Linked DNA regions of Macaca fascicularis. The protein of the gene in region 1 interacts with the protein of each later gene in a biochemical or structural test. Links are inferred from orthologs where the notes say so. Each region holds a gene or a part of one and is shown on either strand. Other genes may lie near its edges.

Region 1 (5,669 bases):
GTGATAAAGGGAAAACACACATCACATTCTGAAAAGTCTCAGAAGTGAAATAATTAAAACTAACAAAATTAATTCATAAAGTGCTCAACAAGTAATTGGGTCCAGTCTCAAAAAAGTAAGGTAACCGGTTAAGGAAAAAAAAAATTGTTAAAAAGCACCTATTCAAATATAGAACTATAATGGAAGAATAAAATTCCAGCATCAGTAGCAATAGGCGTCGAAAGTACAAGAAAGAAATGTAAATTCTGTAAATTTCTGCCTGTAAACCAAAAGGAATCAGACATAAGTTGTTTTTGTTTTTGAGACAGAATCTCGCTCTGTCACCATGCTGCAGTGCAATGGTGTGATCTCCACTCACTGCAACCTCCGCCTCTCGGGTTCAAGCTATTATCCTGCCTCAGCCTCCCAAGTATTGGGATTACAGGCGCGTGCCACCATACCCGGCTAATTTTTGTATTTTTAGTACAGTCGGGGTTTCGCTATGTTGGTCAGGCTGGTCTCAAACTCCTGACCTCGTGATCCACCCGCCTTGGCTTCCCAAAGTGCTGGAATTACAGGCGTGAGCCACCGCGCCTGGCCCAGACTAAGTTTTTTGAGTATGACTGACGAAAAGGAATAGTTTTCGTTGTTGTTTTTTTTTTTAAGATCTGTCACCTTTCCAATTCTAAAATACTATAAAATTAATGAGTACTTTTAATTTCACACTACCTTAGAAGTTCTACATCATTAACTGTAAAAGTTAAGAAATGATTATGTTTGTAAAGAACTTCTTAGTTTTTAAGTTTACTTCCACATGCTGTGTTAATTTCACATTTGATATGGCCTTAATTATTTGGAACCTGACATTCAAAGGGTTACATGTTAACATATTAGTTCATGGATAAAACAAGTTCCAAGATCATTCAGTTATTTTCATATCCTGTATCAGGCTGGTCTAATGACATTTTTTTATGTATGCATAATGTGGCTGACTTTTTTCCTTCAGTATAACCCTGCTCCTACTAATAACCTATGTTCACCTATGCCCAGTCAGGGCAACATTCAAGCAAGCTGCTTCAGTTAGTCAAGCAACAAGTAGCGCAAACTCAGCTGTTTAAACCTAGAATGTACTAGTCAACCAGAATGACACACCATTATTTACACCACTAGAGGTTAAAAAAGGAAGTATTGCGACTCCTTTGGACTCTTGGGAAAGTTTAGCTTAAAAATATTTTATAAGATTAAAATAATGATGATGACATTACAACTCTCAAAGCACTTACACAATTTTGCATGGGCTCCTGTACTATTCGCTGTATAGTGAATGGGCTGAAAGACGTTAGTTTAACGAACAATGTCAGAGCAATGCTGCTACTGTAAGGCTTAAGCATCATTAGGTAGAACAACATCAAACATTTATTTGCACGTCACTACGGCCAAGGCATTCATCCAAAAGGGGCAGAGAAGAGTCTTTTTTTAATACTTATTTTATACTAAATGCCTGTGCAACCATCAAGTAAGATATATCCAAAAGTACAAGGTCGTTCTCATTTAAAAAGAACAGCCTGATCTCAGGAATGGAAACACGCTTCTACGCCCAGAGGCAGCTCATCACTGCAGAGCCTCTGATGAGACTGAAACGCACAGAGGAAGAAGCATCTGTACTTTCAACTTCCCCCCTCATTCCAAGTTCCTTGCCAGACACTAAACCAGGAGACAATTCGTTTATACTAAGATGACCTTCACCACCCCTGCCCGGTAGCAAATCCCTCTGGCTACCAGTAATTCTTATCCTATCCCAACACCGAGGCACATGCTCCACATTCTCCTAATTTCAACCCCTTTCAAAAGTTGACCTCCCCCTCCCACTCGGAGTCCAACAGTTAGAGAATGCCAAGTGAAGGGTGAACTCCATCAACTGGCTTCGCCAAGCCAAATTTGGGATCCAGAGGACCTTCAAATAAAGAAGTAGGTGGGGCTTTACCTGCAGTTCACACCAGGCGACTTCCACAGTGGTTTCAGTGTCCAGACCTTTGTAGACCGTCTTAAAGGAGCCTCTGCCGATTTCGATGTCAAACTTGAGAAAGCGGCCATCGTTAGACATTCCCACGGCCTTGGTCTCCAGCTCTTCGATATCATCCTGCTGCTGGCTCCGTTCCTCCTGCGGCTCCTTGGCGCTGCCGCCGCCGCTGCCACTTCTCGCTGGCGGCGGCTCCTCTTTGCTCCCCACAAGGCTAGGCTGGGACACTGGGCGGTCTTTGCTGGTACTGCTGGGGACAGTCGAGGGGGCAGGGCCCGCGACGGCCTGTTCCCCAGGGGCGGCAGCGGCTGGAGGCTGCTGGGCTACCTGAGAAGCGGCGGTGGCGGCCACGGTCTCTTCCCGGTGGGGCTCCGGTGGGGCACTCTGCGGGACAACCGCGGGGATGCCGGGCTGGGGGAGGGCAAGAGGGAGGCCGGGGAGCTCCAACGCAGTGGCATTGGAGTCGCAGATGACACTCCGGCGGAAGAAGCGGTGCTCGGTGGTGGTGGTGGTCGCGGCCGCCCCGCGGCTGTCCTTGTCCATCGTGTGGCGGCGGCGCCGGTACTCCTCAGTCCTGCCGGTCCCGGCGTCGGCGGCCGCGGCCCCCAGTTTCTCCCCCACGGAGGAATCGGAGCTGGAGCCATTCTTGGGGGCAGGAGCCGGCGGCGAGAGGAACAGGGAGCCGGGAGTGCTGCTCTGCTTCTCCGCGGCGCCGCCAGACATGGTCGGTTCGCTGGCGAGAGGCGAGCGGGCTCGGAGTCGCGGATGGAAAGGGCGTGAGGGCCGAGCCGCCCGCGCGGAGGTCTGCAGGGCACCGCGGCCGGGCGGGTTCGCGCCGACCCGGAGACGCCTCACTCAGCACTGACCAGCCGCAGCGAGGGCGAGGCGGGCCGCTGGCACCGAGACTGCTGCGGCTCGCGAGGAGGGCTCGAAGGCGGGCGAGTCGGGAGCGGAGCCGCGGGGGTTAGCGCCGCACGGTCCGCATCCATCCTGCGGCGAGCGGCGGCCGGGCGGGCGGCGGCAGCGGAGGCGCCGCAGTCATGAGGGGAGGGCCCGGGGCCGGCACCGAGTCGAGGCGGATGCGGCGGACGCGGCTCCCACTGCCCCGCTCGCCGAGCCGGGCGGGCTAGGCCCAGAGGGCGGCGGCGCCGCGAGCACGGGACCAGCTCCGACGCCCGGGCGGTGGCAGCCCCGGGGCAGGGAGTGGGAGGGGCCGAGGCGAGCGAGGAAGGCCGCGGCCCGGCTCCGGTCACTCGGCGGCCGCCGCCTCCCACACGCGCCCCCCGCGATGGGGACCGGCCTCACTGGTCGCCCATCGCCCCGGGGCGAAGGGCCGGAGCCTCGGAGCCTCGGCGCCTGAGGAGCGGGCCCCCCCTTCCCCGAGGCCTCCCCGCCCGCCCCGGGCCTGGCGAACCCGCCTCCTCCCGGGCCGGTGCCGGGGGCTGACGGCGGAGGGAACGGCGGGGAGGGGAGGGCCGCTCACCGCGGGGCCCGAGCTCCGCTGCTTCTCTGAGGCAAGAGGAGAGGAGACCTAGAGGACTGGGTGAGGGGGAACAGGGAGAGAAAAGAGCAGTCACCCCCACCAGGCGCCTTCTGTCACCGAAGACGGGGGTGCGGAGGGGCCGAGAGAGGAGCCGCGTCCGCCCGGGAAACTCTCTGCGCTAAATGGCGCCGGGAGTCTGAAGCCTCCACACAGCCCGCTCGGATCCCGCCCCCCGCCGCCCGGGGCAGCCCCACCCCCCACCTCGCTCCGGGGTTTTGCGCAGGCGTGCCAGCCCCGAGGCACCTTGGGACTTATAGTTTACGGGTTGGAGGAGATGAACGGGACCTAGGAGAAAAGTGCCTACGACTTCCGTGATGCCTCGCGGTTGCTGTAGCCTGATGCCTCGTGGGAGTTGTAGTTTTCTTTAGAAACCGTCCCTTCTGAAAGGCTGATGGGAGCGTCATCGCGGGTCGCTCAACCCCATCCTGAAGTCCGCGCGAGCTTAGGAAAATCATTATTTAGGGATTAATTGTGGAAGAAGGGAAGGAAGGGAAAAAAAAAAAAGAGGAAGGTGGGGGGGAGATGGAAAGACTCCCATCATGCTCTGCTAAGCGAGAGAGCTCTTAGGGTTGCCATGCAATGAAAAATGATCTGTTGTTCATCTTTAATGGAGAGAGCCGCAGTAGTGTTGAGTGACTGCAGGGCTGTGGGGGTGGAGGGGAAGGGTAAAGCCGGATAACCGGAGCCTGAGTTCTGAGTCGGAGGAGGGGAAAAGAAACTTTGTGAAGATGGTGCATGAAATTAATATTGATTAAATGGATTGGAGGAGGAGACAGGATTATCTTCCATCCTCCTCCCCTCAACAATTAAGGCCACATTCTCAGCTCCCGCCCGACACGGATATTCCGGCTCTCAAAAAAGGGCTGCCTGACTGAAATGGGGGATCCTAGTGAACTCCCTCTTGGCTTTGCCTGAAAGATAATAAAAGCGGGGTTGGGGGAGCGGTGGATTCAAGAAAAGATAAGGTCTACGGATCTATGGGTCTTTGGCCACACTTGGGGGGGCTGGGCTGACTTCTGCCTTTGTAGTTGGTTGAAACTTATTTTCCACCTTTCTTCTGCTGGGTGGCTCCGTGAAACAACACCCCCTCTTTCTCCAGAGCTCCTCAGTGTCCACATGCAACGTCTACCAGGGCCCTGGGCCCGGGAAACGTGGATCCCTGCGGCTCGGCGCCATGGCATGTTTTTCTTGAAAGCATCCTTGTCTCCCTGGACCCCTGTGCTCCTCGCAGCTCCTCAAGATGCGGAGGGGACGAGCACCAGGGGGCACCAGACGGAGTAGGAGGCCGGACTCGGGAGCAGATGGCAGTTTAAAAGCCTCGGTCCAACCGGTGGAGAGCGGGAAGCGCGGAAAACGTACGCAACCGCATCAGAGCGTCCGGGCGCGGCCGCCTCTCTTGGGCGCCCGCTGCGGAACCAGCTCGGAAGCGCGCGTCCCGGGCCGAGGACCACGCTGCGAGCGAGCAGCCAGCGAGGAACTCGGCAGGAGGTTCCTTAGCACAGTTCTCGGATGAGCTCCACCTGCAGAATTCTTGCCGTGCAGTTCATGTTAATTCATCTGATCCGTAAAATGGTTAATGCTGTTTTCTTTCTCTTTTTGTTGTTGTTTATCACAAGCTACCCTTTCGAGTTTACAACAATGTTTGAAGCCAATGATTGTGAGGTTTCATGAAGCTGACAGGTTGTGAACATTTTAAAATGCCAATTCAGTAGGGACAACTAGAGTACTAAAATATTAGTGTTCCATTGCTCTAGAAAATGTATCTTTCATTCGTTTGCTGCTGGTAATGGTAAATAATCTCATTATGGTAAATGGAATTAAGAGTGTATTTCTAACCGTAAACCTACTGTAAGCAAGGGAAGAAATGGCCGTAAAATACATTTTTATTATACTTCTTGAGTCAAATAAAACTTGCCCAATTGTTGCTTCAGGAGGAAAAATAGTCTGATTTTAAACATAAGGCAGCTAATTACAAATTGGCAAGTTAAAAGAAGATCAGTAAATCACAATGTTCCCTTTTGGCACCATAAAAAAATTAGGATATTTTTGTGTGAGTGGTTATTAAAGGATTTTATTATTGCCTGTTCCTGTTTACTGAGCCCTGAAACTTTGGCCACACTGCATTGG
Region 2 (5,353 bases), on another chromosome or scaffold:
AAGTATAAGTACTGTTATTATTTCCTTTACACAAAAGAGAAAAATTAGTTCTGAAAAGAGTGTGACACACTCAAGGTCACACTGTAAAGTAGATTCACCACTAGGTCTAAGTTACTCCAAAGCCCATGCTTTTAATTAATAGCCTTTCAAGGTACAAAGTATTTTCATACCCTCGTGGCAAAGAAAAAAAATTGTTCATTAGCAATCTCTTGGTTGAAATTTTGTAATGCTTAAAAACAGCCCCAATTAAGATTCAGCAGGTTAAGTGTGGAACAAGCACCAGATTCAGGATCCCTCCAGTCTCTGGAGGTTGGACATGTGATCCTAGGCAAGTCACTCAGCTTCTCCGGACCTCAATTTCCCAGGGAACTTGCAAAACAAGGCTACTTCCCTCTGTTCGCCCCCCTACCTCAAAGCATTCCATGGAGTCAGTTACCCGTGCTAAGATAATAAGGCTGATATCCAAAGATGAACCTATTGGCCAAAGGCTTCAGTCTCTTCTCTCACCAACTTTCTTTTTAGTTATCAGAGCCTCACACAAAGGTTATTAGTTAATCAGCTAATAACTATTCAGCACCTGCTATTTGTGTACCCACACAGTAGTCAATGGGCGTATTTAGAAGTACAAGGTACTAGCCTTGCCCTTGAGGACCTGTCTCCAAGTTTGGGGACTGCTAAGATATATGAAATAAAAGCACTAAAAGATCTGATGGGCCTATTATTCAGTGTCCAACTATGAGATGCAAACTAGAGGGATTAGAATTCAGAAGAACATCAGCCAGGACTAGAAAAGCTGAGTTTCCAAGATAAAGTAGAATTTTAGAATAACCTTGATAGATAACTTTTGCAAAATTAGAAGGGAAAGACATCCAGCAAAAGAAACTCTGGGAGCTAAGGATATGAGGCTAGATGAAGTAATGTATAGGATGGGTGATCATGAAAGAGATCAATAGAATTGTTAGTAGGTTTATGAGTGAGCAGTGGGAATGGGAACAGGAGTTGGAGTTCAGAAGACTTGAATGCCTGGCATGGTAAGCTGGGCTTGAGGCAGGAACAAAAGGTATGACCTGGGTGACCTGGTGAACATTGGAAGCTGCTCGGTTTGGATTTCTTGTCTACCATCTGCCTTCAGCAGAGGAAAAGTACAAGAACATGTGCAACCTGGTGTTCTAAAGCCATAGACATCAGCCATCCCAGCTGAGAGGCCCCAGGACAGGGGCAGGGACTCATTACATTTCTGAACACAGAACTGGGAACACAGTGCCCCAAACCATTTGATCCGCTGCTAGTAGTCTCACACTGATCTCTCAACCCCAGTTACACCACAGATCAAGCAAATAGGCATGGCCCAGAATCTCTAAACCTTCATCACATCAGCCCCATTCTCTGCCACCTACCAGATCAATGGAACACTGTTTGGGGGACCAAAGACACTGCTCACCTCTGCCCCACACCTAGGAAACAAGCCTTCACATGTTCTGCTGCCCAGCAGGCCACATGCAGTTCAACACTAAACTCCTGTTACAAAGAGCACCCAGAAAGACGATGCACCAGCAGCACAGTCAGTCCCAGGCTCTTCCTGTGGGAGTCATCAAGAACACAATTCCCAGGGCCTCTACGGACAAAAGAATGAGATGACACTCAACCATCATGCCAGTTCTAATAGGGTCTAGAGATGTTCAATGGCATCACTGAGCCCCGTGAGACGCAGAAGTCACAACAACTCATGAAAAGGAAAGTATTCACTGAGAGATTCTCTAGTGTTGACTTAGTTGAGCCTATTATTGTTAACCAGATAGTTACTGTCTGCATCAAACTGGCAACCTGGAGCAGCAGCCTTCCCCTCAGTGGTGCACTGCCATGGCCGGACCCCTCCCTGCAGTGCTCTCTCCTCGGATAAAATGGCAAGCCCTGTACTCTACCAACTGCAGACCAAAGAATGAAGAGGTTGGCACTCAAGAGATATTTTACTTCATAGACAGAGGAATGTCACCTCTGCACTGCACTGAGTACTTTCACAATGAAAGATTCAGATCTTCAGATAACAATTTAAAAATTTAGATGGGTGTGCCTGCCAGGATCTAACTGCCTCGCTAGTTAGATCCAGCTCAACAAAAGTACTTGAAATCTTTTCTGCTGGTTCGTATTTCAAAAGAAATCCCTGATGGAGGAAGCACAGACCTTCCAGTATAACTCATAAACTTTTCAATACAAATATGAAACTCAGTTCAGAGCAAGTGTCATCTGACTGGATTTCTCTCCTTCATCCCTGAATGTGTGTGTATACAGGCATACACGGCGTGCCTGCGCGCACACACACACACAGCCATCAGCATGGCATGCCTGCTGAAGATTCGAGCACTCCTGCGTGAAAATGCAAGTACACTATGTCAGGCCAGCCCCACTATGACATCAAAAACCCCCCACCAAAGAAAAAACACCCCGGGAAAGTAGCCAGGAAAGGGAAACGCCTCCTTGAAACAGCCTGAGAAAGGCAATCTAATTCAGCCTGTGCTGAAACTATTCCCGAACACCAGCCAGGAAGTCCCTTCTTTCAGGGTGCTCCGCTGCCTAGCAAACCCAGACCTGCCTTTGCGGAAGCCAGATCTCTGGAGATTCAAGCCCTGGAATGGGTGGTTTGGAAAGCGGCTTTTCTGCTCTTGCTCTGCCGCCCTTTGAGATCCATCAGTGGCCAGGTTTTCCAACCCTGCCTAGCCAATGCAAACACAAAAGCTGGTGGCTGTACCGCAAGCACACATTTACTTATATACACACACAACACAGCACATACTTATACATACATACCTTTCACCCTCCATTGTGTGAGGCCCAGTCAGGATGGTAGCCGCTGAACTGTGTGCATGCACCCGGGGATCCTAGTTCTGTTCTTGATTCTCCCAGCAGACCAGTGGGAGATCTGATCAGCAACAGTGATTCAGCATGGCTGCAAGTGAAGCCTCCTCCCTTCTCAATCCTCCTTCCTCTGACTTACTCGCAGCAGCTTCTACCGCAAAAGCAGCAGCAGCAGAAAATGTCTTACCCAGAGCTCCCTGCAGCCCTTTCAGCTGCTAAAAGCAGCAACCCACTTGCTCCCCCTCCCCCGCAGGCTTGCTGCTCCTTGGTCTCCTAGGAACGGCAGCAGCTCCAGCGACCCAGGTGCACTGCCACCTTTCCAGCTGCCTCTGCATCTGCCCAGGCATCCCCAGCCCAGGCGATTAGCCCGCCCCTGGGGCTCCTGCCTCCTCTGTCTAGGCTGCAAAGAATCAGGCAGTTCGTCACTAGCCGGAGAAATACTGGCCCCTACACCCTCCCCTGCCCCCATAGGCTATGAGTCTGTCAGCCTGGCCAGATTGCTGGAATGAGGAGGCCCCTCTGTGGCCTGCAGTGGAGTTTATCATCCACCTGGGGAAATTCACTTGTAGGTCACAGTTTATGTTCCAAATCCTCCTCCCAAATTCTATAGTAGCTCTGAGTGTCTGATAGATGGGGAGAAGTTAAGGAAAAAGCACCTGACAGAAGTGAGAAGAACACAGAGAGAAATTAAAAGAATACAGAGAGAAATTGGAAAATTAGTCGAAAAAGAGAGGTAGTACAAATAGGTGAAACGGAAACAAACTCTATTTTACTCCAAGAGGCCAAAGACTACTGCAGTAAAGCTATCACAATGAATACTAAAATATCTTAGCACAATCCTAAAATATCTTCCTAAAATCTGTCATATTGGAATTTAACTTAAGCTGTGGCTCCAACTAGTAAGTCTCCCACTGAACCCCCATATCCAGCCAAAGATCTTTCACATCCTGTAATCTCCAGCTGCTAAGCTTCTATTTAGACTAATTTAACTCTCCCTGCCTGGAAAGGCTTCTCCAATCCCAGTCCTTTAGTCTTTCTGGGAGGCTAGTCAAAATCTCATGTCTTCATAACTTCCCGAATCACACCAATGACAGCCAATCACCACCAAAATAGCTACAAACTATACTGTCCTGTATTGTCATCTCACACCTAGCTAATTCATTATTTATAAATCTTCTTTCCCAAACTAAAACATAATCTTGTGGAAGGCAGGAGGCCAGTCTGTATATCCTAGCCACAGAGGCTTAGAGGTAACTGGGGCAATTAGCCACAAAAAGTGGTGCAGAAGCTACCCTAATGCCTCAGAAAAATCAGCTATGAGCATCTCTCTTCCGGGACCCCTCAAGACACTCCTGGGCTTTTCCGAATCTGCACCAGCTCTCACTGGGTGAGTGACTTTCCTGAGTAGTGTTCTCCACACTCTGGACCTCATGCTCAGCTACTCATTCACAATATAGGGTCAAGACCAGACAGTCTTTAGAGTCCCTTTCAGCTCCAAAATCACAGGATTCTAAAAATGTTTTAAATGGTCTGTTTTTCTTCTCAGAGTAACCTGTATGATTGTTTAAGAAGAAACACTAGGCTCTAATGTTTTGTAGGGGGCTTCAAGGAGGATAACATGATGTAGGTGAAAGTATGAAGAGACGCTTAGTAAATCTATCATTCTTATCATTTTAACCTGATAAATGTCTTCACTACTACAAAGCTCTAAAACCACAGAAGGAAGAGAGAAACACTGGGGTGACAGAAAGTAAAAGTAACTAATACTTTATATAGCCTCCTGAACTCAAACTGGCTACAGGGTTATTCTCAAAGATTACCTCCCCTGGCACCTCAGTGTTCTCTTAGACGAGGCCATTACTCAAACTCACTCTTTCTCAAGTGAGAAGAGGCCTGGATAATTTCATTTACACCCCACAGGGCTGTATCTTCACTTCTTCCTTTCACAACAATACCCCTCCTATCTTGTTCCCTCTATGTCCCTTCCTCCTCTAATCAGCCTTGTGGCCCTGCTCCAGATATTTCCTCTTGAGGTCAATCACAGGGACCACAAAAAACTGAACATCACAAATAAGGAAATTGAATCTTGGAATCCATGCCAGAGTTCAGACATCCACCAGGAAGACAACTGGGTGATTCATAAAAGGGACATAAGAAAGAGATGACTCCTTTGCACATACCCACGTTTACATATTCGCCTTACAGGAAGGTGGGGAAATGCCACATCTAATACACCAGACAGAAAGAAAAAAGATCCAAAAAGGAAATATGTAAGGGTTGTGGGTATTCAAGTTTCAAAATACAACTATTAAGAGCCAATATCAAAACCCACAAAATTTCCCTGCAACCCACTTTTGCCATGCTAACCGATATCATTATAATGTATGTGTCAAAACCATACTACTACACCTTCATACTTTATTCACCACTCACGATTCACAGGAAGTAGACAGAATAGAGAATACTCAGAAGACGCCATTTAGAAAAGAAAGCTCATCTT

The links. The genes of interacting proteins can lie anywhere in the genome.
Region 2: of the proteins of WNK1 (region 1) and KLHL3, one has a biochemical effect on the other in vitro, tested with the Homo sapiens proteins (2 studies listed by BioGRID). The link is inferred for Macaca fascicularis from reciprocal best matches to the Homo sapiens genes WNK1 and KLHL3.

What each region holds. Positions count from the first base shown.
Region 1 is NC_088385.1:1,507,660-1,513,328, reverse strand, and holds the start of WNK1 (serine/threonine-protein kinase WNK1), read right to left. Parts: upstream 3,670-5,669; 5' UTR 2,723-3,669; coding exon 1,964-2,722; intron 1-1,963. UniProt on the Homo sapiens protein: Serine/threonine-protein kinase component of the WNK1-SPAK/OSR1 kinase cascade, which acts as a key regulator of blood pressure and regulatory volume increase by promoting ion influx.
Region 2 is NC_088380.1:144,215,100-144,220,452, forward strand, and holds the start of KLHL3 (kelch-like protein 3), read right to left. Parts: upstream 3,266-5,353; 5' UTR 2,820-3,265; coding exon 2,806-2,819; intron 1-2,805. UniProt on the Homo sapiens protein: Substrate-specific adapter of a BCR (BTB-CUL3-RBX1) E3 ubiquitin ligase complex that acts as a regulator of ion transport in the distal nephron.